2 linked regions of the Pelodiscus sinensis genome follow. The protein of the gene in region 2 interacts with the protein of the main gene of each other region in a pairwise test. Links are inferred from orthologs where the notes say so. Each region holds a gene or a part of one and is shown on either strand. Other genes may lie near its edges.

Region 1 (12,110 bases), on a different chromosome or scaffold from region 2:
CAAAGACGGCATCAGGCAGGCCGGGCAGCATGAAGAGGTGGAGCTCCAGGCGGCCCTGCGTATTCCGCTGCAGCTTCTGCCGCAGCTTCTCTTCCGTCCACTCGTGGTTGAGGTTGAGCTGCTGGAGCTTGCTCTCGCTGACCTCGGAGAGGAAGACAGCGAAGCGCTTGGAATAAAGGGAGTCGTACTCGTCAATCAGGTGCAGCATGAAGGCAAAGTCATTCTTGACGTCAGGGATGTCGCTGATGCCTGTCTCCTCCCGCACATAGCGGAAGGAGTACTCTTTCAACGGCCGGTGGAAGAGCCAGTAGAGCGTGTAGAGGCAGGTGAGGCCATAGACACCCAAGAAGCAGATGTAGCAGATGGCCAGCTTGGAGAAGAGGTGGGCCTTCGTGTGGTTGCAGCAAAAGTGGCCATAGCCTGTCATGTCTTCCATCTCCACGCTGCAGGGCACGATAAAGTGGATGTTCTGCACCAGGGCCCCATTGTAGGCTGTGATGATCAGAAACTTGAAGACTTTGAGAACCGTCTGGCGGATGTACATGGTGTGGAGGATGTCGCCCTCCTCCACGTGCAGCCGGAACTTCTTCACCTTCTCGAACAGAGCCTTGGCCTGCTCCCCTTCCTTCTTGTCCAGCAGGCTGACGGAGGGAGCCTCCGCTACCTTCTTCTCAGAGATGGACTGGACGGGCTGTAGTGGAGGTGGGGGCTCGGGCATTTCGTCCTTGATGCTCTTCCTCCGCCGGTCTTCCTTCTTTGGGCTTGACCCTTCTTGGTTCTCCCCAGAGACCTCAGAGAGGGCCCGGGTAGTCCAGGGCGAGTCAAAGCACTTGCCGAGGATGCAGATGAAGTGCTCGATCTTGGAGCTGGTGCCAGGGAACTTGAACCAGAAACTGGCGCAGACCATAAAGATGAGGGTGTGGATGACCACCAGGTAGGGGAAGTACTTGGCGTACCAGTGCAGGGCTGTCTCGTAGCACATCTGGTTGATGAAGCTGTACTGCTGGATGTCCAGGTTGTTGCGCAGGCCACTCATCTCTCGGGCTGGATGGGCTGTGTCTGGCTCCGAGGCGTTGAGGCTCTTCCTGGCAAAATTTTGGCACGTGTCGACAGAGTGCGAGGCGCTGGCGGGGACGTGGTTGGGGAGGCAGATGATCTTATCCTGTGTCACCTGGGGATAGAGCCACAGAGGGAGGCAGGTTAGGAAACCATGGGGGATCCGGATTCACACCAGGTGGGGATGTGACCCCAACGGAGCAATGGCCCACTGACACACAGTGGGGGTCTGGCCCCAGGCGTCATGCAACGGTCCATGCGTGGTTCTGCCCTGAGCACCGACTGCAGGCTGCATTCATGCATGTGTCAGGGCAATAGTGGTATCGGGCACTGAAGCTGTGCCCAGCCCAGGGGCAGCTTACACACACAGCACCAATGCAATATCACAGAATCCTAGGCCTGGCAGGGACCGAGGTCACCGAGTCAAGTCCCCTGCACTCACGCCAGGACTAAGTATTACCTAGACCTTCCCTGACAGGTGCTTGCTTGTCTAACCTGCTCTTAAAAATCTCCAATGATGGCGATTCCACAACCTCCCCGGGCAATTTATTCCAGTGCTTAACAACTCTGACAGTTAGCAAATTCTTCCTAATGTCCAGTCTAACCCTCCCTTGCTGCATTTAAGCCCATTGCTTCTTCTCCCGCCTCCTTGTAACAAGCTTTCATGTTCTTGAAAAGAGTGATCAGGTCCCCTTCTCAGACTTCTCTTTTCCAGATTAAACCAACCCAGGTTTTTTTTCAATCTTGCCTCGTGGGCCATGTTTCCTGTAATCATTTTTGTTGCTCTTCTCTGGATTTCCTGCAATTTGTCCACATCATTCCTGAAATGTGGGGCCCAGAACGGGACACACTACTCCAGGTGAGGTCTATTCCATGCAGAGTAGTGCAGAAGAATTACCATGAGACTGAAGCCAAGGCTGACCCCTGCCCCCTGCCTCTGCTGCCGGAGTAGGCTGCAGCCCAGCCAGCACATCTTCAGAGCTGTGGTGGGGGGGGGTCCACAACACACGGGCTGCTGGGAGTTGTAGTTTCAGTGGGCTGCACTCTGAAGCATCAATGGGCAAGGGCAAGAAGGCCAAAGGCCTGAGTGGCCAAGACCCACTTTGGCCCTAGGACAAAGGAGACAGAGTCCAAGAAGCACAGCTGGTAGCAAGGAAGTATGTCTAGTGGTTAGAGCACACGTGCTTGGAGTTAGGTTCTGTCCCCAGCTCCAGGAGGAGCGTGGGATCTAGTGGATCCTATCCCCCACTCTATCCCTACCTCTCTGTTTGGCCTTAGGCTGCTTCCCTCCTCTCTGTGCCCGACCAACCCCAGGGTGGCAGCAAGTCTCTAAAGCCCCTTGTGATGCGGAGAGAAATGGGACTAACAAAAGACAAAGAGCCGCTAGTTCACGCCAGCCTTTTCCTCCAGCTAGAGCGGCGGGCACCTCCCACGAGCTTAGCATGCAAACACATGCACTGCACACGGCGCATGCCAGCCCCATGGGAGCCCGTGTGATCCACGGCTCATGCAAGGCCAAGCCATCGCTAATCGCAACCCAGGAGTCCTGACTCTGAAGGGAACAGTCCCCGCTGTGATGTTGTTAGTTACGAGAGCTGGGGGAGCGCGGGGGGCAGGAAGCAGAGAGGAACTGGCCAGGCTGCTATACAGTATTAATGCCCTTCGTTCTGCAGAGCCTTGGCTGGCCTGGTGATACACAAAATAAATCAACTGGTTACTGCAACCCCAGGGCCACGCATCTTCCTCTTTCAGAAACGTGACATTCAGCCCCTGGCTCTGAACAAGCCAAACCCACCTATGCAGTATGAGTGGCATTCCCCACCTGTGAATGACCAACCTACTACTGCTGCCCACTGATGGAGCTGCTCCTTCAGCTCAAGCAGAAGAGTGCTGTGCTGAGGGTCCCTGTGTCAGCAGGGTCTGAGTGTGTGCGTGCAGGGAACTTGCCTGAGGTCATCCCGAAAGTCAGAGCCAGAACTGAGAGTGAAACCCAGGAGTCCCACCCCCAGCTCTCTGCCCTCCCCATGCCTAGACCTCACTCATCTCCCAGAGCCAGGGAAAGAACCCAGAAGTCCCAACCCCCAGCCCCCTGCTTTAACCACTCTCTCACCTAAGCGGGGGGTTCTCTGTACTTCCCTGGCAGATCCTGCCATCTCCTGGCACCTCATTGGCTGGCAGGCGGTGAAATGGTTAACTCAAGGGGGACTACAGGGGAGCTGATCTTGCTCCCGTCCTCCTCCCCACACGTGGCCCTGGGGCTTTGCCTGTGGGACTTGCTGACACGGATGTTCTCCCTGTTGCCATGAGAGGAGACGCTGTAACGGGGCTGCTGCCGTGTGCACGTGGTGTTGGGCTTCTCTATGGACAGATTCCTCCCCTCAAGGTCAGAGGGACCCTCATCTGGGGGCGACCTCCACCCTGATGACAGACCAACCTAAAACAGGGCAGGGGGAGTCGGGGTAGCTCAAGCGGGAGACAAGGATGGAGGGGTCCTTCTCCCGTGTCCCCTGTTCCACCCCAGAATGCAAAGCGTGCCGGCCCATCCACTAGCCACTAGCATTCAAGGGTGGAATCTAGTGGGTACAGCTGGGGGCGGGGGTAGAAGTCAGATGCTTGGGTTTTGTTCCCAACTCTAGCAGGGGAGTATGGGGGAGGGGTTCTGGGGGTCAGGACTCCTGTTCTCAGCTGTTTTCCCCCACTTGGATGAGCCCAGTGGCCCGTTTCCTTCCTGTGGTTCAGCCACAGCCTTCAATCCCACCTGCATCCCCTCCTGCAGGGCAACCCAACATCCAGCCACACCCCAGACGTGCTGGGGCGAGCTCCCTGCCTGGGCACGGATCCCCTGCAGCAGGGCAGAGGGAGGCAGCACCTGCCCAGATACTCTACATGCTCCAGGGGAGGCCGATCCCTCCTGCTTGCGGAGTGGGGGGGGATTACCCCTTCTTAGGGGCTGTACTGAGGGCCCTTGCCCTTCTCCCTTTCCCTCGAGCCCTGGGCCTACCCTCTCCTCTCCCAGCAGGAAGGTTGCATTCGCCCGCCTGGTGGTCCAAAGCCAAACCCCACCCCCTCCCAACTCCGGGGGGTTCAGATCCAAATTGCCCAGTTCCCCAGGGGAGACGTCTTCCAGTTGCCTCCCGTCAGGGCAGAGGGCATGCTGGGACTCCATTTGACAGGCAGGAGGGTGACCGGCTACCGGGGCTCTTCCCCGCCAGCTGCCTTCTCCAGAGTTCGGGGTTTGCTCCCTGCTCTTAGGGGCACTGCTGACACCTGCCATGAGCACAGCACCTGCTACTGTCCGCTGAGGATAGAACCTTCTACTGCTGCTGCTGCTGGTGATTCCCCTTCAGCTCCAGAGGGAGGGGGCCACAGAGGTCCCAGGTCCTGTCCCTGCTGCTGCATGGGAGGGCTTTCACAGAGGGTGGTCATGGCTTACCCCCCCCACGCCCGGTACCCACCTGCAGGGTGCAGCCGAAAACCCCAATCATGAGCATGGCCACCGTGATGTACTCGGCCAGCACATCCCACCAGGGCTTGAGCACCTTGAAGGCTGGCTGCTGGTCCGTGAACTGCTTGAATTCAGCTACAGGGATCATCCTGTCTGCAGAGAGAGGGAGGGGTTAGGCTCAGGCCTGCGAGCTTGCTGGGTCCTCGGTCGGTCAGCAGGAGCTCGGGCGCCCAAGCACACAGGCCCTGCTGCATGAAAACAGGCAATTGAGTGGAAGAGGGCCATTGGGGAGCAAAGGTCTTCAGGCTGCGGGACCAGGAGAGGGAGCTGGTCCCTGGCAGGAGCCCAGCCTGAGAGAGAAAATTGTCCTGTCCTGAATCTCTTTCACCTCCACAACACCAGCCATCCCCGAGTACATTGCTTGCCTTGCCCTGACATGCAGCCACTTCTGGGGTGGGTCACAGCCGCTGGCTAATAGCCCCTCAAGAGCCTGAGACAGGAGAGCCCTGCTCTGACAGGGGAAGTTTCAGGGCAGGATGTAGGAAGGCAGAAGGGAATTACTCCTGTTGGAAAGGGGGCAGGACAGCAGGGCTGGGGAGTGTGGCTAGTCCGACAGACACAGGTCACATGCTGCAGTGCAGCTTTGGGGCCTGCACAGACTGCACGGTGAGGGTGCCCCCTACTAAGCCCCCTCTGGTACCCCCTGCGGGTCACCCACACCACTTCCTCCCCACCTCAGTCTCACCCAGTCTCCTTTCCCCGCCTGCCCAGCCACGGGACAGGGCTACTCACGGAGTCATAGGAAGCTCGATCCAGGACATCGATATGAGCGGGGAGGGGGAGCCAGGGGGAGACACTGGATCCGCTTTCAAAGGGCTGCTGAAAGCTGATCCAGCCAGCTGCAGAGTCCTGCTCCGTGGCTTGAGAGCAACCCAGGCACCGGGCACCGCGTGGGGTTTAACCAGCGCTGGGTGGGCCCTGCCAGCCCGGGCCCTGGAACCCGCCACCTGGGAGCAGGGGGTTCCAAGCACCATAGCAACGCCCTGTGGCCTCCAGGCAACAGAGAGGGGGTGATGCTGGCTGAGGGTGACAGGAAGCAGACAGGACTCTGCTCCCTAGGCTCGCCTTTACCCAGCCTGGGGGCGGGGGGGATCCAGCCTCAGTCTTTGTGTTGTGCAGCAGGGATGGATCCCAGGAACCCTCATTTCCAGCCTCTGCCCCTAACCCGCTGGATCCCACTCTTCCCTCCACCCTGAGCTGGGGATAAAAGCCTGGCTCAGACCCACCTGCTTTAATTCCTAGAGCCTGCTCCCCTCCGAGTGTGAATAGAACCCAGGCTCCCGGCTCCCAGACCCCTGTGTTCTGACCACTAGACCCCACCCCTCCCATAGCTGGGACTAGAACCCAGGAGTTGTGGTTCCTGGTTCCCGCTCTAACCACTAGATCCCATTTCCCTTTCAAGATGGGAATAGAAGCCAGGAGTCCTGGTCCGTGGTCCCCCCTGCTCTGACACACTAGACCCCACTCCATTCCCAGAAATGGGAAGTTTAACAGCCCCCTCCATCTCCTTGGCCCTGTACTCTCCCAAGTCCGTCCTGCACCCCCCTTATCCCACCTCTGCTGCACAGCAACCAGGTCTGCAGATCTGGAGTCTGCCACTCACATTTCTCTGGAGTGGGGACAGAGCCAGGGTTTGCTCAATGGGGCAAACGATTGTGAACCAGCTAGCCCTTGTGAAAATGTATCTAATTGTCCCCATGGGGAGATGCTTTCTGCCCTCCCTCCAGAGAGGCTAAGTCCAGAAGATGGCTCTGTGAGCCCACGTACCCACCCCGATCCCCTGCCAATGTGCACCACCCCTCCCCTGGGGTGCCCTCCTTGAAAGCAGTCTTGGCGGCCTGTTCAGTCTTTGGTTTTTCCATCAAAACTCTTGGATTTTGTCTCCATATTTGGGTGGTAGTGGTGTCTAATGGTTAGAGCAGTGGAGCTAGGAGTCAGGACTCCTGACTTCTATCCCTGGCACTGGAAGGGGGGCGGGGAGGTGTCTAGTGGTTACAGCAGAGGAGCTAAGAGTCAGGACTCCTGGGTCTCAGACTTTGCCATTGACACTGTGTGATCTTAGGCAATTCCCTTCCCTCCCTTGTGCCTCAATTCCCCCAAACCCTTTACTGCTCCTTGCAGGGCTGGCGAAACTTAACCACCTTTGCCTACTGCTGCCACTGGTGGTGGGAGGCAGAGCGTGACCTTTTTCATTGCACTGACTAAGGGATGGGGATACAGCTGAGACTGACAACCAGCGGGAAAGCTCCTGGCTCTGCCTCGGTTTTTCCCCTCCACCCCGTCGGGTGCTAGATGGGCTCCCCAAAGGAAATGCCTTTCCCTTTGCTCAGGGGGGAGAGTGAGGCAAGCCGGCTCTTCCACAAGGGATGTTGTCCCGGCAGCTGCTTCCTTGTGGTTTGTATGTGTGCCTGCACAGCGGAGTAAATATTTCCATTGACTGTGCTGGGCACCAGAGGAGATGGGGGGGGCAGAGAAAGCCGCCGGCAGTTTGGGGCAATCTGGAGAATTCAGAGCAGAGAGAATTTTTAAAAGCAGGGTTGGAACTCTCCAGGGAAGCCCAAAGTAATAGTGGAAGAAACTCTGCTCTGACTGCTAGTCCACACTCCCCATGCGGAGCTGTAAATGGAGTGAGGAGTGTGTAGGGCTGGCAGGTGGCCCAAGGGACTTGCACCCACGTGTACAGCCAGGAACCCCCGGGGCTCCTAGTCTTGGCTCCACTGAGCCAATGTGTGGCTTTGGGCAAAGGTGAAGAGCTGAGTATTGACACAGCCCCACTGCCACTGAGGGCTTTGTGTGGGGGCAGGGCAGGGGGAGTGATCATGCTGCAAAGCCGGGACAGATCCCAGCTCCTCCTGCTCTGACGGTACCAGTCTGTGAAACTTGAGTTTAGAGGAGACTCACCATTAGCAATAGAGGGCTTTTGACACACAGGATCCAATCCAGCAGTGGGAAGTATCCCCATCTATCCCTCCCACCTCTGTGTCCCCCCCAGTATCATTACATCTCAGATGCATGTTTGGCTCGACAGGGTGTGACTAGGAAACAACACCCAGAACTAACAGCTGGACTCCCCCACCATCCATGGTGCTTACAATCAACTGGATACTTCAGGGATCACAGTGGGGAAAGAGGAGACAAACTGGGGCAGCCCTGGAGTCCTTGTCCAGCATGGGCAGCTGGGAATGTAGGATCCCTCCTCCAGCCCCTGGGATGCAGTGCTGGGGGCCTGTTCGCATCTGTGAGGCCCTGCAGGGATCAGGACCCATCCAGCCCCCACCTCACTCTCACTGCAGCCCTTAGAGCATCTTTCAGACCATCCCAAAAGGAATCAATGGGCAGAAGACCATGAATTTGGGGAGACAACAGGAAACTGAAAGGGGGCTCCTGCCCTCCCTGGAGCACAGCCACCACCTCCAGAGGTTGGTAGCCTCATTAATACCTCCCCCCCTACATCTCTGCTCTGCTGCCCCACCGTGCCCCCAGCTGGCATCCCGAATGCCTGCTCTCCCAGGCAGAAGGGTGGGGGGGGGGGACAGATCCTCTGGCATGGGGAAGTGTGGTCTGGGGGAACCTCGATCCAGAATGGAGGCCCAGCTGCTCAAGCTACTCCAGGCATGCAGGAGCCAAGAGCTTCACTCTGGAGTGGCCAGGTGCCTGGCTGCCTAGGACACCTGATGCCTACCCCCACGTGGAGCCTCCCCTCACCCTCACCTGCAGCAGGGGTGATCAGCAAATCCCTGGACTGGCCCAGCATTCTCAGATGCTCTGAGTGCCCAGCCCCTTGGCCCCCACTCCCAGCCTGACCCAGAAGAGAGTCCCCCCTTTCTTCCTCTTCCTCTTCCTCTTCCTCCGCCTGGCCCGAGTCCCTCATCCTCCCAGGCACACAGACTAACCCCCAGCTCCAAGCAAGCCCTCCCCAACCCCATGCTCCTGCCATGCCCAGCCCTCAGGCAACCCCTCCCCCTCTCTATGCCCCCCCATTTCTGGACACCCCCAGTCATGCCACGCTCACAGGCATCCCCTATCCATCCCCACATTGCTAGGTGTCCTCCAGTCATGCTCAGGCAACATCTAGCACTTGTAGTCCCCAGACACCTCCAGCCACCCAGCCTCTGAGCTCAACCCCCACTTCTTCACACAGGCTTCCAGAGGTGGCTGGGGCCTGCTCCATTTGGGCGGGGGGAGGTAAGGGGAACTGAAGGGGGTCCCACCAAACAAGGCCCCCCAAAGCAGGATGTGTTTCCCTCCCACAGCCCCAGGGGGAAATCTGCACCCCAAAAACTCTCTCTGAGAAGAGGCAAACAAGCACTATCTTATCCCCTCTACCTCCCAGAGAATCCCTCTCCCCTAAAAATTGTCCCCTTTCTCCTAGGGACAAATTGCCTTCCCCCCCTTCCTGGGGCAAAACCAGATCCACTCCCCCCCTTTCCTGGGGGCAAACCCCAACTGCCCCATTTCCACAAGGGCCAATCCAGATCCCACTAAAGTTCGCCTGTTGCCCCCCCCGTCGCTCTTGCTGGGGAGTAAATCCGGACTCCCTCCTCTGCGGGAACGCGAAATCCGAATCCCCCGTTTCCTCCGCCCTTTCTGGGTGAGTGGAAACCGGATTCTCGCTCCGCCGGGGGGTGGGGGAGGATTTCTGACCACGCCCCCGCTTTGCCCCTGTAACTCACCAGCTCTCCGGTCCCCCTGCCCAGCTGGTCCCGGTTGCCTCCCCTGGGCTCGACGGGGCGCGCTCAGGGTAACCCCGCCGCGCCCCCCGCCCCGTGCGCGGTGACAGGCTCCTCGACGCTGCTCCCTGACACCCCCGGGGCCGCGGTGACTCACCGGTCTGGCGAGCTCCCGCCCAGCCCCTCCGCCCTGCACTGGGCTGGGTCTGGGGAGGGAGGAGACCCGGGGCAGAGCAAACACGCGGAGCCTCCGCCGGCACCAGCCACAGAGCTGCAGCGACTGGCACACAGAGCAGCCAGGCAGGGAGAGCGGCGTGCTGCACCCCCCTCCCCGCGGGGTCTGGCCCCAGGGGAGTGGGGACTCGTGGGGAGAGCAGGAGTGGGGCTGGGGGTCAGGACCTGCTGGGTTTTGGCCACAGCGATGTCAGGGGAGTGAGGACTAGTGGGGAGAGCAGAGGTAGGGCTGGGGGTCAGGACCTGCTGGGTTTTGGCCACAGCGATGTCAGGGGAGTGAGGACTAGTGGGGAGAGCAGAGGTAGGGCTGGGGATCAGGTCTGCTGGGTTCTGGCCTCAGCGATGTCAGGGGAGTGGGGACTAGCGAGGAGAGCAGAAGTAGAGCTGGGGGTCACGACTGCTAGATTCTGGCCTCGGGAGTGGGGACTAGTGGGGAGAGCAGGACTCCTGTATCTCTCTCACGGGGTGCCCTCAGAAGCACCCATTCTGCTCTTTGTCTCAGATTCCCAGCTGTAGGTGTGGGCAGCAGCACTCCCAGCTCCTCAGGTGACAGAAAGGGCGATTGCACATTACAATGGTTTGATTATTTAATCTCACTGAAATTGTGGTTTGAATTCAGCCCATGGGTGTTGCTCATGGACCAGAGAAGATTTCTACATCTGCACTAACAATCTGACATTTCTGCAGCTGCTGTCACACAAGGTACTTTGCAAACTCTTTATAAGGAGCACTTTGCCCCCTGAAAACGAAATGCAGCCACTTCTGGGGTGGGTAGCAGCAGCTGCTGTTTAACAGCACACAGCAACTCCATATAGGGACCATTCACTCAGCACTGAAATGCAGCCACCTTGAGGGTGGAGCGTGGTAGGTGTTCAACAGTGAGAAGCACCACTGCACAAGACTCACTCATCTCACACTGAAATGCAGCTAGCTCTGGGGTGGAACACAGCAGCTATTTAACAGCACGCAGCAACACCGCACAAGAACAGTTGTGAAGTTGATCACTGCATTGAAAATGTTCACAAGGTAGATTAGAAAAGTGCTCTGGGAGCTGGGCTGAATGCCGGGTTTGTCATGGGAGAAAGGGGGCTAATTACAAAGCTCCTGTTTGTGTTCTCAGTGAAGTGGGTCATTGCATCAGGCAGAGGCCGCAACGGGCTCAAAGCTCTCACTGTCTGGGTGAAATCCTACCCCCGGGCTGCACTGCACAGCCCATCTCTGGAGACAATCAGATGGGGCCTGGGAGCTGGGATTCATTTGACAGGGATGTTTGAACATAAATCCGCAGAGAGGAGTCTGAGAAGGAAAATCTCCCCCTTTGCTACCTGCTCGTCACAGCCTTGTGCTGGGACCTGAAATCCAGGGATTGAAAGTGACGAGGGGCCAAAAGCTCAGCCTGCTGCCCCTCTGGGCCAGGATCTGGGAACTGAATTCTCAACTGTTACGTAGCATCCGTATCAAGAAGGCATGTGGAGTGAGGGGGGTTCTGGGACCTGGTTCCCTCCTCATCTCCCCCGATGCACAGAGGACGTGGACGGGACTGCACAACAGGGCCAGAGTCAGAAGGGGAGTGAAAGCTGCACCCTGTGCATTCTGGCCTCCTGCCAGCCAGCCCCCTCCTGATCCCCCTGCCCTTCAGCACGGCCCCCTCCTGATCCCCCTGCCCTTCAGCACAGCCCCCTCCTGATCCCCCTGCCCTTCAGCACGGCCCCCTCCTGATCCCCCTGCCCTTCAGCACAGCCCCCTCCTGATCCCCCTGCCCTTCAACACAGCCCCTTCCTGATCCCCTGGCCCTTCAGCACGGCCCCCTCCTGATCCCCCTGCCCTTCAACACAGCCCCTTCCTGATCCCCTGGCCCTTCAGCACGGCCCCCTCCTGATCCCCCTGCCCTTCAACACGGCCCCCTCCTGATCCCCCTGCCCTTCAGCATGGCCCTGTTTGCTTCCCCTGCTGTGAAAAATGGCCAGGTCCTGAAATACAAAAATTCAGGTGGAAATCAGTCACTGGCTTTCCCCAGCCCCTGGGGATTTTTTGGAGAAAATCAGTAAATGAAGGGACTTGTTTATTAAGCAGCAGGATGCCGTGGTGCTGAGAGGGACCAGCATTCAAGCATGTCGATACGGGTTCTGGCTCACACCCCAAATATGGCCCAATGTCCTGCCTTGCCCTGCACGACAGAAGTGGGCTCTGGTAGCGAGAGCAGGGTACTTGGGCCTTAGGACTCCTGGGTTCTATTCCCAGCTCTGGGCAGAGACTGGTGAGTCTAGTGGTTAGAGCTGGGGTGCTGGGAGTCGGGACCTCCGGAGGGTACGTCTATGCAGCAGCTTGGAGTGTATGTTCAGGCAGCTGCCCTGCACCGCAGCATATACTGTAACATACATACCGCCACGTGTGGCACGCTGCCCTGAGCACGGCCACGTGTCTGTCTGCCCAGGCTGGGAGGCCCATGCCCAGCTGCCGGGGGTCACAGGCGGGGCCTTGGTGCCCTTCCCTGAATGTCTCTCTCCGGCACAAAATCAGGCCGACCTTCAGCAGGTGCCTAGTACCCGCTTCTCCAGGCCGGCGTGCTGGAAACACCAGATAGGAGCTCCGTCTCCTGCTGAGACAGCCAATCAAATCCACTTGAGGTGGCAGCTACTTAGCCA
Region 2 (12,601 bases):
GATGTGATCACCTCATCTCAAAAAAGATATGTTGGCACTGGAAAAAGTTCAGAAAAGGGCAACAAAAATGATTAGGGGTATGGAATGGCTGCCATATGAAGAGAGATTAATAGAACTGGGACTTTTCATCTTGGAAGAGATGACTGGGGGGGGGGGGGCGATAGAGATCTATAAAATCATGACTGGTGTTGAGAAAGTAAATAAGGAAAATTATTTACTTATTCCCATGACACAAGAACTAGGGGTCATTACATGAAATTAATAGGCAGCACATTTAAACCAAACAAAAAGAAGTATTTCTTCACACATAGTCAGCCTGTGAAATTCTTTGCCAGGGGATATTGGGAATTCAAAAAAGCAGAATTCAAAAAAGAACTATATAAATTCACGTAGGATAGGTCCACTAGTGATTATTAACCAACTTGGACAGGAATGGTGTTCCTTGCTTCTGATCTGGGAATGGGTAACAGGGGATGGATCACTTGATGATTACTTGTTCTGCTCATTCCCTCTGAAGCACCTGGCATTGGACATTGTTGGAAGACAAGATACTGGGTTCAATGAACCTTTGGTCTGATCTTGTATGGCTGTTGTTATGTTCTAATCCCATAGATTACCATGCGGGTGAAGTAATATCTTTTAAAACAGTATGTTTCAAACCTGTTTTGGAAGTATCAACTGTAGAGGTGAATGGGTAATCCAACCTTCGTAACCGTTCTCTATGCAGACTGCAAACAGGGGTACTATGTTATGGGAGGGGATGTTTGTTATGGACACCTGTCCACTAGAAATTAAACTGAGCACACAAAGTCATTTCACAGAGGTCACTGAAAACCAGTTGTAGATTACCATTTTATGTCAATACCAACTTGGGCTGGATTTTTTAATGGCTATTATGGAAATTAAAGACTCCATAATCCCATTATGAAGATTCAAACTAACCTATCTTCCAAATACTTTGCTTATAATCTGATCAAATCCTCCCTCTTCATCATTGAGATAGACAAGGTAAACCCCTCTGAATTTGTTGAGAAGATGAAAGAGAAGTAAACAGTAAGGCTATGTCTACACTGGCGCGTTCTTGCGCGAGAACAACTGTTCTCGCGCAAAAACTTGCTGCCTGTCTACACTGCATGCGCGTTCTTGCGCAAGTAAATCTACAGTAGAGCATCTGAAATCAGGGCTTCTTGCGCAAGAGCTCTGGCGCTCCCTCTCAGGAAGAAGCCATCTTGCGCAAGTGTTCTTGTGCAAGAGGCCAGTGTAGACAGGCAGCCAAGAGTTTTTGCGCAAGAACCAGCCAAATGGAAAAAAACCAAGTGGCTACTTAGACACTCTGTACCCACCACAGCACCAGACTTCCTGGTTACCGGAGCCCCCTTAAAGTCACATGCAGCCTGCAGAGGCCATGTGGCAGCAGCACCTCTGCCACCCAGCTCTCCTGGGCGGCTCTGCCTTGATGCAGCAAAGGCCCCACCAGCATGTCTGCTCCAGGGAGGCACCAGCAACCTGCAGCCTTCTTCCAGCAGCCATCCCAGGGGTCTCAGGAGGCCCCGAGGGGCACCAAGAGGTGCACCCTGTCCTGGTCCCCAGCCGAAGTAGAGGCCTTGCTCAACCTGTAGGCCAATGAGGAAGCCCTCCATGACCCCCATGCCTGTTGGCAGAATGCTGACATTTTCTGCCGCATGGCCCAGGCGCTCTACCACCAGGGACATCCAGCCCGGACCCTTGAATAGGTCGGGCTAAGGTGAAGGAGCCGACACCTGCCCCCACTATGACCGGCTCCATGCCATCCTTGGGGAGATGGAAACTGAAGGCCCCTCGGTGCCTGTGGACACCAGCATGCGGCCCCCCGTCATCAGGCCAGTTGAGGCAGAGGAAGAGGCAGAGCTGCCCACCGGGTTGGAGGAGGAGGACGATGACCAGGGCAGCAGCGTCACAGTGCAGACTGAGATGGTGCCAAGCAGCCAGGATGTCTCCCGGGCTTCGTCGGAGGCCGGAGAAGGATTCTCTGGTGAGTGTTGTGCTTTTCACTCACAAGGGCCGGGGGAGCCAGGTGCCCAGGGGTGAGGGGGAGGGAGCGTCACTTAGGCAGTTCGAGCTGCACACTGTGTACCAGTATGCAGCACATGCAACCTCGTGCAGCCTGACTGTGCGGCATGTGGACGCGGCAGGCAGCTACAGGGCATGCCTGGGACTGTGCTGCTCACACACGCCTGGACTGGGGAGGCAGGGGGATGCCGGCTGGAAGCAGCCAAGGCCCCAAAGAGCTCAAGCCAGACCCCACACCTCCCGAAGGATGCCGCACACAGACAGTGCTGGGAAAACCGCAGCGAGCCAGCCCTGTGAGCACAGCCCCCACTGAGCCCCTCGCCTGTTCCTGGCCCCTAGGCTGGGCCCCAAGGGAAGTCCCTCCCCTAGCTAGAGGGGGAGAGGGGAAGTGATTGGCCTGGCCCTAGGGCCACTTGAGTTTTGCTGAAAGGACGGTACACTCCCCAGTCACCCCTGGCTCTGTCTCCGAGGACATCACTTGACAGGGGTCCGAGAGCCCAGACCTTGTCTCCCATCCATGCTCTCATGCAATGTGGGGATTTATCAAGCTCCTCTTCAAACTCTGTTGAATAGTCCTAAGCCTTCGCAGCCTCCTGGCAAGGAGTTCCACAGGTTAACACAAAACATGCCAAGGGGCCAGGACACAGACAAGGGGTTACAATCCATGGAGGATCACTTTACTCCAGGGGGGAGTCCTGTATGAAAACATACACACACGGGGGGAAGTGAGTGGGCCCAAGCCACAGTACTGTGTTGTCACCTGGGCTCAGGACGGAGGGCATGGGGCGCAGGGACAGTGTGGGCAGGTCTGCCTGACCGACCCACAATTTCCTCTGTTCCCTGTAGCTGGACCCTCCAGGAGCAAGGGACCCTCCAGCCCTGCGGCGGCAGCAGCACCCCCAACGATCTAGGTACCAGCCCAGAGGGTCAGGCAGTAGGACCAACTGCTCCTTCACCACGTACGGGCCATCGAGCGCATTGAGGCGGCCATCACTAGGAAGACTGACGCCGACCTGGAGTGACGCCAGCATGCATGGGGGCAGTTTTTGCACCGGTGTGACCGCATGTGTGATGCAATCACGACTCTGACATCGCACATCAGGCAAGCCATGCACTATGGCATGGCATTGCCTCATGCATCTGCCCTCCCTGCCATGCCCATGCCCCCTTCTCCGGCCTTCACTCCTGCTACCGCCCTGCCCCCACCTGCTGCACCCTGTCCTGCCCATCACTCCATGCTACCTGCCCCGATGCAGCCTGAAGGCCATCCAGGACTCCGCTCCCGCAGAGGCACTGGCAGGAGCCACCTCTTCCACCAGTAGCTTCCCCTCCCAGTTCAGAGCCCCCTCCCACTGCCCACCCTTCTCCCCCATTGTAAATAAAAATAAAAGTTTTATGGTTGTTTGAAAAAAAAACTGTTTTGTTTATTGGGAGGTGAGGGGAGTGGGGGAGGGAAGGGTTGGGGATGGGAGGAAGACGTAACTGGGAGACAGAAGCAACCCTACTGTGGGGCCTGGGAGAACATCTTCTTCAGGGCCTCCCGGATGCACACTCCATCATGGTGTGCCTGGCAGATGGCAGCTGTGCGAATGCCTGGCCCTCTGCTGCATCCACACCGGGAGGAAGACCTCCCTATTCTGCTCCACTATGTTGTGGAGCACACAACACGCAGCCACTACTTCTGGAAGGTTCTGCTCACCCATCTTAAGACAGGTGAGCAGACAACGAAAAGCAAACTCAGCTTGGTTGCAGGATCGGTTGAGGCGATCGTTGAAACATGCCCGGTCAGGGTCTGTCCATCCTGTGTACAGCCACATCAACCAGGGCATCGGGGGTAGGCCGCATCCCCCACAACACAAATTGGTATGGGCACATCCCCAATAGTAAAGTCTCACTGGGGGAAGAAAGTGCCCGTCTCCAGCCTGCGAAACAGGCCGGAGTTTCTTAAGATGTGGGCGTCATGTGCTCTGCCGGACCACCCCACATAAATGTCAGTGAAGCAGCCATGAGGGTCCACGAGGGCCTGGAGCATGACAGAGAAGTACCCCTTGCAATTTATGAACTGGGCCGCTTAATGTCCAGGGCACGGACAGGGATGTGGGTCGCATCCAGGGCTCCCCCGCAGTTGGGGAACCCCAGGGCAGCGAAGCCGGCCACTGTTGTGTCCACGTCCCGAAGGTGGATGACTCACTGAAGCAGGATGTCGTTGATGGCGTGGATGACCTGCAGAAGGGTGCACAGAAACACAGGGAATGCACCAAATGAGGCAGGGTGAGTGCATGATCCTTTGGGGGGGTGCCCACCCCCCTATGATGCCCTCTGTCCCCAAACACACCAGGGCCCTCTTGCCCCACAGGCCCCCCCCCCATACCAGCAGGCCTGTGTGAGGGAGGGATGGCACAAACCCCTGGGTGACAGGGAGTCCCCCACTCTCCCAGCCGTGAGTCTTCCCTTCCCCCGGCAGGGAGTGCAGCACCCACCCCAGGACTTACCTGCATCACAATGGAACCAATGGTGGACCTGCCCACCCCGAACTGGTGTGCCACCGAGTGGTAGATGTCCGGGGTGGCCAGCTTCCATATGGCAGTGGCGACCCTCTTGTTCACAGGGATTGCAGCCCACAGCCAGGTGGTGCGTCTCTGGAGTGCAGGGGCGAGCCAGGCACACAGCTCCAGGAACGTTTGCTTTTGCATCTGAAAGTTCTGGAGCCATTGCTAGTCGTCCCATTGCCCCAGGACCAGCTAGTCCCACAGTCGGTACTGGTGTCCAGTTTCTACACATGCCTCTCCACGGTGGGGTGGGGATGCTCCAGGGCCGCCAGAGCATCTGTGAGGAGAGAGTCCAGCTCGAGCTCTGTCTCAAGGTCCTGGAGGAGCAATGCAGCAGCATGGAGCAACTGCTGCAGGCACTCCAAGATGGCCACCCCGGCTCCATGGCACAGCAAGGTGAAAGCACAATGCAGAAAAGGCACTAGGGCTCAAAGCTGTGGTGTCCAACAAGGCAGAGGGCAACCACAACTGGAACTGCTATGGCTATCAGTCCCTACAAGAGGTCCTAAAGTTCACAGCAGGAGAGAAACGGTTGTCCAGGAGTTGGGTGTTAGTAATTAAATACACTGTTCATGCCTGATAATATTATTATTTGCAAATTGAACAAATCCCAGCACGTTGATAATTCAGTCTTGGGTGCTGTAATGAACGCTAAGGTAAACAGAAAAATAAATGTCCACTTTTCAGTACAAAAGGCTAAACAAGTTCAACATCCCTTGTTTAGTTCTATTTAGAAACAATTTTATTTGTATGTGATGCTATGATAGTGCTCCTAGAACTCTAATTTTATTCATGACAGTGTGTTTTTTTTGTAATGGTATTACTCTATTTCACACTCCCACCAAAACACACTTTGCTCCAATTTTATTATTAAGAATTTCAGTATAACTTCCATTTAAAAATTATAATCTAGGCCATATACATTTTGTGAGGTTGCCATGGTAACAGTTTCTCTGAGGGGAAAACTGGCTGTCTGTAGTTTCCACAGAAACCACTCCCTGCTGAGACAGGTGCCTTGAAAGGAAGGGGAGAGAATATAAATGAGACAAAAAGGACACACACACACACACACAGAGTGATGTCATGATCTCTGCAGCATCCTTACGCTGTAGGAAGTCAGTTATATACATTTTTTATTTTATAGTTTTTCATTACAAGGTCAGCTTCCCTGTTCTCCAGTCACGTAAACTCTGATTTGCCAATCCCTCACCTCCATGGAGCTGGGTTTGTGGCCAGTGATTTGGAAATGTTCCATGCCAGCAAAGAACTGAAACAGATTACGTCAGACATTAAGGTCCAGGGTTCTAAGAATCACTTTGCATGACAACATTTAAATGGTAAACAAGAGCTTTCATTCATTTTTTTTCTGAAAAATTCAACCCATTTCCTTTTAAAACGAAGAAGGGGAGGGGAGGAGTAATTCCTGATTAATTCTGGAGGATGTGGGTTTTGTTCTCTTTTGGGGGTGGATATGCCTTGTGCGGAAAATGTATGGTGAAAGATCAGGTAAATAGTAAAAGATGAATGATCTTTGATGTCAGCCTTTGCTATTTGAGGGAGTGGGGGGAAGCAATGTTTTTATTTTTAATGTCATAGTGAAAAACCATTGAATACCATTACCAAGAGCCTTTTTTTCAGACAAAATAGTGTTGATTTATTTTATTTCTTCAATAACATCATGGCATTTGTTCAAGGGTTAGTACAGCCATAACTAGAGATTAACCTGCTGGCTATTTCATTTTTGTCCTATCATCTCTCTGCCTCGTTATGGGGGAAACAGGCTGACATGGTTATTAAATCTGGCAGCTGAGTTGCATGCACGTAGGAAGCAAGCAGAGCAGAGCTTATAGAAAATGAGTAGCTTTCAGATAGCAGCCTTCTTTTCACTGCTACCGGGCTTGAAAAACAGTCTATAAAAAAGCTCTTTCTCTTCTTTTTTCTGGATCAGTGCACAAATATCGCAAACACAATTGCAAATGTAAGTATTCCTGGCTTGTGGCTGCTTTCAGATTGCTAATTAAGGTTTCTAACTTCAGTGTTCTGGTTGAAAAAGCAATGAGATGAAAGCCAAAAACATCCCCAGTGAGAATGTTTCTTTGCGGTATTGTAATGGCTTTTAGTGAAACAGCAAGAGAGAAGGGATCCTTGGTAGCTTAATGGAACAAACAAATTACAGTTGTGTTAGCTGATTTTTTTAGGATGTGTGTGCTGCTTTGTTTGTGAAGGGAAGAGCCAGAACCCTGACAGAAATGCTATTAGAGAGTTTTTGATACACAGGGAGAAAGATACCTCTGCATACAGAGACTATTTACAAGCACAGAAAGGAATTTCTCTTGGCATTTTTCATTTAGCATGCTTTTTTGTTTTGTTTTTTAAACAAAACATATACTTGGACTTCTGATTAAGAAATTTGACAGTAACTTATAGAAGAAAAACCAAATCTCCATCCTCAGACTGCTATTTACCTTACATCTAAAGTGATAAGGACAATGAAAATAACAGGGTGAGCTATAAATGTCACCAAATCTCTCATGCTGTGTAGTGGAAGATGAGCTTTGTTTGTTTTAGGGCATGAATACAGAATAACATGGTGGCTGGGAAGCTGTGGAGTTGCAGGTTTCTCAGTGCCGCAGACAGGAATTGTAAACAAGGACACAGTGTTGCTTGGTATGTTTTGTGCTTTCTATAACCTGATTATAGCATCAAAAATAACATTTTGGTTACAATCTCCTGTATAATGGAAGTATTTTTATAGTGTGGTTATTCCACTGCAGTGAATTTCAACGTACAGCTGGTGAACTCTTAATATGCTATGAATGAAATCTGCCTATTGAAAACAATCTTCAACCAGTAACGTGTACACATTTCAGATAATTGCATGAGAAATGCCTGCCATGGCTAGTTTGTTTGTGCTGTCATGACATGTTTGTTCCTTTGCACTGTTTGTTATTTAGTAGGGGCTGTTTACAGTACTGTAAACCCTTTATAACTCATGTAACAATTTAATTCCTACAGTTCTTTTAAACAGGTGACCAGCATAAAGTGATCATGAAGACTGTGTTAGTTTCATGTATCAATGTACTGCAAATAAAGGGCCAAACACATCCCTCATGCAACTCCAGCAATGTTAATGTAGTTACAACAGGGATGCATTTGGCTGTTTTGCTGATAATCAGTCATCACTGGTGCCTTAATTTCTGAAGATATAGATGTCTCTCTCCATTGCAGCTATTTCACCATTGGCTATATATGAAAATGATCACCTTTGATCACAATTGGTAGAGTTAGGTTCCCCTAGACAGAGTGGCAACAAGCCAACTTCTGAGATAAGTGGTGACCTCTGAGGACTAGGTCTATCACAAACTTATAAACAACATTAAAATATTAAAAGGGCAATGGGGGGTAGGGAAAGGTTGCCAGGTGGGGATGGGATGGAATTATTCAATAAATGTTGAAAGCCAAAAATAAATCTTGTGAATGGAGAGAAATTATCTATGACTTCACTGAATGTATTCTTCCAGGAGAATTTGGAACATGTCTTAAAAATCTTTGCAACATCTTTCTGTCTACTGTCATTCATTTGAAGGGGAAGAAGGGAAAAACAGCTTTATCTTTCAGTTGTGATTCACACTCTCCCAGATTTCATCCAAAATTTTTCATCCCTGCTCTGAACTGAGTGTGATGGAGCCTAAGCAAAATTCAGTGATGTGCAGACATGCAGTGAAATGTGCAAATGTGTGCACTGACTTTTTAGGCATATGCTCATTGAATGTTAAACAACCCCTGCAGTTCCTGGTGCTGCTACTCAGAGACAGAGCTTCACTTTCTATTATGTGCATTAGTGATGATAGACTTTTTAAAAAAAGCTCTGGAGGCGGAACATCCTTTTGTATGCCTATCTCTCTGCAGATATTTTTTGCCTGGATTTGGCTGACCTTAGGATAACCTATTATTTTAAGGTTTGCCTCCCCCTCACAGTACTGAAGGGGAGTACAGTTCACTCAGGACATTTGCTATTGCAGTAGTTACATTTACCCTGGAATTTTTGGTATTTTCCATTCTAAATGCAGGTAAAGGCCAAGATACAATAAATGGCAAGATATGAATGATGGTAAACCCATAACCATCTTCATTATGTACTGAGGTACTGCAGATGAATAGCCTCCTCTTCATACTTTCCTTGGTTTCCCCCTCCCTGGACCAGGGGCCTTGTCTCCCTCTGAGTTACTTTTCCCCACAAAGAAAATTATCTTTCCCATTTTCTTAGTGTCCTCAGGCCCTGATACTAGAACGAACTTTGTCCCCCCAAGCTGACTGAGAGACTTGGACCAGCAGACTTTAGTCTCCATGTTGGTTTTTCTCTCCCCTCAGCTTTTAAAGCAACTCTTCTTCTCCCTCCTGAATCCCAGCAAGAGGAAGCAAGGTAGGTCAGGAAAATTTTTCATATCTATTCTGCTGAATTTTGTAAACCTGTTTGTGCCCTGTGTTTTGTCCTACCATGAACATAATTGTGACTTGAGCTTCACTAGCATTTATACCAGAGACCTAATTAATTAAATAAAATTATGCTCAAGTCATCAGGAAACAGTGCCATATGACCACTCCCAACTAAACTGCACAACTTGAGTTTTGGATTCTGAATTTCAAATAGCAAACCATTGAGTAAACAAAATGTATCAAAACTATTCAGGGAATATTTCAATAGCAAATAAATTAGAGAAAATCAGTCTGTTTGTGGACATTCCATGAAGAGGAAAACTAACAAAAGCTCGTAATAAAATATTTATTAGTAATTCATACAGAATTAATTTTTATTATTAATTAAACTATACTGGGCTGCATTATTACCCCACTTCCTTCGATTCACCTAAACATTGATGTCAGACTGTCACTATGGGGTTAGTCCTACATTTAGTCACTGTGTTTGATTAGGGGACTGGATGTGATAATTTTGTTCTGTGTTTTATTATTATTTGTCTTATACTGCCCAGGAACCATGTTCATGAATGCGATGAGGCACACCCCAATTCCCAACAGAAACAGACTAACAAGCTCCTCTGGTCTCAACTGATATGACATAGGCATACTTGCAGAGCCTGCTCCATTTGGAGGAAGCGAGATTAAAAAAAGGAGTGTTTGTCACAGGAAGGGATGGTAGCCAGGAGGAAAGCAGCTGTGCCCGCAGGTCTGATACAAGGGATGTCATGGGAGTGTAGCATTACTCGGTGGTGGCGCCAGCAGATGTGTCTTCACCTCCCCAGAATGCTATTCTTGTTCACTGTGGTGTAGGCACTCCCTTTTGAGCACAAAAGGGAGCTACTTTCAGGCACTGGGGTTCTATCATTTCACCATCCGCAGGGCATTGGGATAGCCCCAGATATCTTTGACTTTGTGGAAGGTGGACTTATTCCTATGGTGCTAGATGCTGAGGATCCTGTTGTCATTGACTCAGGCATAGGATGGATGCTAGGTCAGAACTTCATCCTGGCTTGCCACCCTAACGCATTGCTCTCTAGTCTAGAATCTTCCCATGACTGAACAGGCAGCCTGACCCTGCACGATGTGAGAATATCATGTAGATGGGCTTTTCTTAGTATGTAATTAAAATAATACTAAAATGGCATAAATCTTTCTGTGACCTGATTCAAAGTAGTTCTGACCCACTGGTAATGTCTCCCTTATGGTGTTTAATATCCAACTGTTAATTTAAGGAAGTATATTTATCTAAATTGAATCACCTCACCAAAACATAAATGTTAATTATGAAAATGTTGTGGACCATTGATAATGATTGCTTTAAGCCCATTAGTATAGAACCATTAATGTAATGGAGCATATTCACCCACATTTAATCACATCACAAAAACATTCAAGTTAAATAGCCACGTATAACAGCTATAGCATAAAGTCTCAGAGGAGTTAGTTCATCATGGAGTAATTTCACTCATTCATTCATGCAGGCTCTGATCCTATATTGTGATCCATGTGTACAAGGTGTGCCTGTACAGGAGCAGACTGTTAGCATGGATATCAGTGCCTTAGTTAGCACAGTCTGATTATATTTTCGAACCTCTTTGCTCCCCTCCATTTCAGCTGTAGATTTCAGAAGTAGTGCTTGATGGAAAACAAGAATTCAGTTTTTATTATGCCCAGTTTTTGGCATTTGGTTTTGTTCTGCACTGGGACAAAACTGAGACCCTTAGAACTTTTTTCTAAAAAAAAACCTGAAGCAGCTGGGATGGCCAATGGCCCACTCTTCTAGGTACAGGTTTTTTGTTAGGGTATACACCTACCAGTCTATACAATAATATTAAATACTATAAGTGTAAGTGAATTTGAATGTCCTGACTTTTTTTTACTTTAAATTCTGAATTCTAATTTGCAGTTACATAGGTTTTTGGTTCAATAGTAGTTTATGTAAATAAGGTGGCATATACATAATCAACTGTCAGTATTGAGATCAGTAAAAATATATCCTGACAGTCACAATGTTGTCCCTTCAATAAAGAAATCATAAAAATCTTAACTAAGGCAAGCCTCTGAACAGGAAGGGCCATTGTATCCCCTTGAATGACTTTTTGGCATGCAAAGAAATGAAGAACGTTTTTCTTGTATTCCAGAGGACAGTGAATAAGATGCTTTTGAAAGATTACTTGAGGGCGCGTAATTACTCAAAATATCCTTTCATCCATCCAGATCAAGCTGGATTTATATCAAGCTGGTTGGCTGGTAGTTTGAAAAGGATTTTACAGTTCTTATTAGTTAAGGGATAATAGGACAGGTGCCTCTTTTTAGGAGGCAATAATATGGTTCCCAAATGGAACTAGAAGGCAAAATAATTTATCCTCATGAGAGACCTTGCTTCTTACCAAAAGGTCAGAGCATCCCCTCCAATCATTCCCCATTATACAGTCCCATCAGACATGCTAACCCGGGGTGGGCAATAATTTTTGATGGGGGGACCCTCCCAAGATTTTGGAAAGTGGCCGAGGGCTGCACTCTTCCATGATGTTAATGGAGGAGGTGCGGGGTCTGGGATGGAGGTTGGGTGCAGAAGGGAGCTTGGGGTAAAGGATTGGCGTGCAAGAGGGAGAATGGAGTCTGGGAGGGAGTTTGGGCAAAGGAGGTAGTTGTGGCTTAGGGCAGGGAAATGTGGTGCAGGGTTTTGGGATGTGACCTAGGTTAGGAGGGGTTTGTGATGTCAGTCAGGAGATTGGGGTGCCGGATCTGGGAGGGGCTATGGGTTCATGTGGAGAAGTGGGGCAGGAGTGTGGGGCAAAGGGTTGGGGAAGGGAGGGGCTGAGATGCCAGAGGCAGGTTTTCACCAGGAGACTTAGCTGCCTGCCTGCCTGCAGACCTAAAGACTTGCAGAGCTTAAAATGTTTCTGCCTGCTCAGCCATGTGCTTGAGTGAGTGATCAGGAGGGTTGTGCTTTGTGGCTGCCTGTTGTTCAAACAGGCAGCTCCCATTGACCAGTGTCTGTCTGGAAACTGGCCAATGGGATTGTGCTGGGGCCGGAGCAGCATTTTAAACCCCCCTCCTCCTCCGGACTCAAAGAAAAAGCGCCCCACAGCCACATTTCTCAGTGGCATGCAGGGTTTATGGGGCAAGCAGGGGAGCTTGGCAGTCCAGATCTGGCCCACAGGCTGTATTTTGCCCAAGCCTGCGCTAACCCTATTTCTAATATGCTATAAACTAGAATGTGTGCACATTCAGCCCTTGTGCTTGCTATTTCCTAGTGCTGAGTCAAGTTGCCAGCACTTTGCAATTTAGGAAACTTTCCAATTTAATTGATGCTGACCTGGAAATCTGTCAGTTGTAATTGTTGGTTAGGGTTAGGACCACAAACAGACACAAAAGAAAAGATTAGACTTGGTCTATTAAATATTCCTTAATTCAGCTCTAAAAAGGGGAATCAAGGATCTGGGATGGGAGAGGAGTGGGATGTACTGAACAAAGGGGGAACAAGGTGTCAAGTTTTGGAGCTGTAATGTGGTGATGCA

Evidence for each region.
Region 1: the proteins of TRIM2 (region 2) and volume-regulated anion channel subunit LRRC8E interact in binary tests that used the Homo sapiens proteins (3 or more experiments, as listed by UniProt). The two-hybrid records come from large-scale screens. The link is inferred for Pelodiscus sinensis from reciprocal best matches to the Homo sapiens genes TRIM2 and LRRC8E.

Annotation. Positions count from the first base shown.
Region 1 is NC_134729.1:9,963,272-9,975,381, forward strand, and holds the start of volume-regulated anion channel subunit LRRC8E, read right to left. Parts: upstream 5,509-12,110; 5' UTR 5,323-5,508; coding exon 5,294-5,322; intron 4,655-5,293; exon of another isoform or gene 4,651-4,654; coding exon 4,512-4,650; intron 3,351-4,511; exon of another isoform or gene 3,167-3,350; intron 1,172-3,166; coding exon 1-1,171. UniProt on the Homo sapiens protein: Non-essential component of the volume-regulated anion channel (VRAC, also named VSOAC channel), an anion channel required to maintain a constant cell volume in response to extracellular or intracellular osmotic changes.
Region 2 is NC_134715.1:55,901,580-55,914,180, forward strand, and holds the start of TRIM2 (tripartite motif-containing protein 2), read left to right. Parts: upstream 1-6,428; 5' UTR 6,429-6,576; intron 6,577-8,969; 5' UTR 8,970-9,021; intron 9,022-12,601. UniProt on the Homo sapiens protein: UBE2D1-dependent E3 ubiquitin-protein ligase that mediates the ubiquitination of NEFL and of phosphorylated BCL2L11. Plays a neuroprotective function. May play a role in neuronal rapid ischemic tolerance.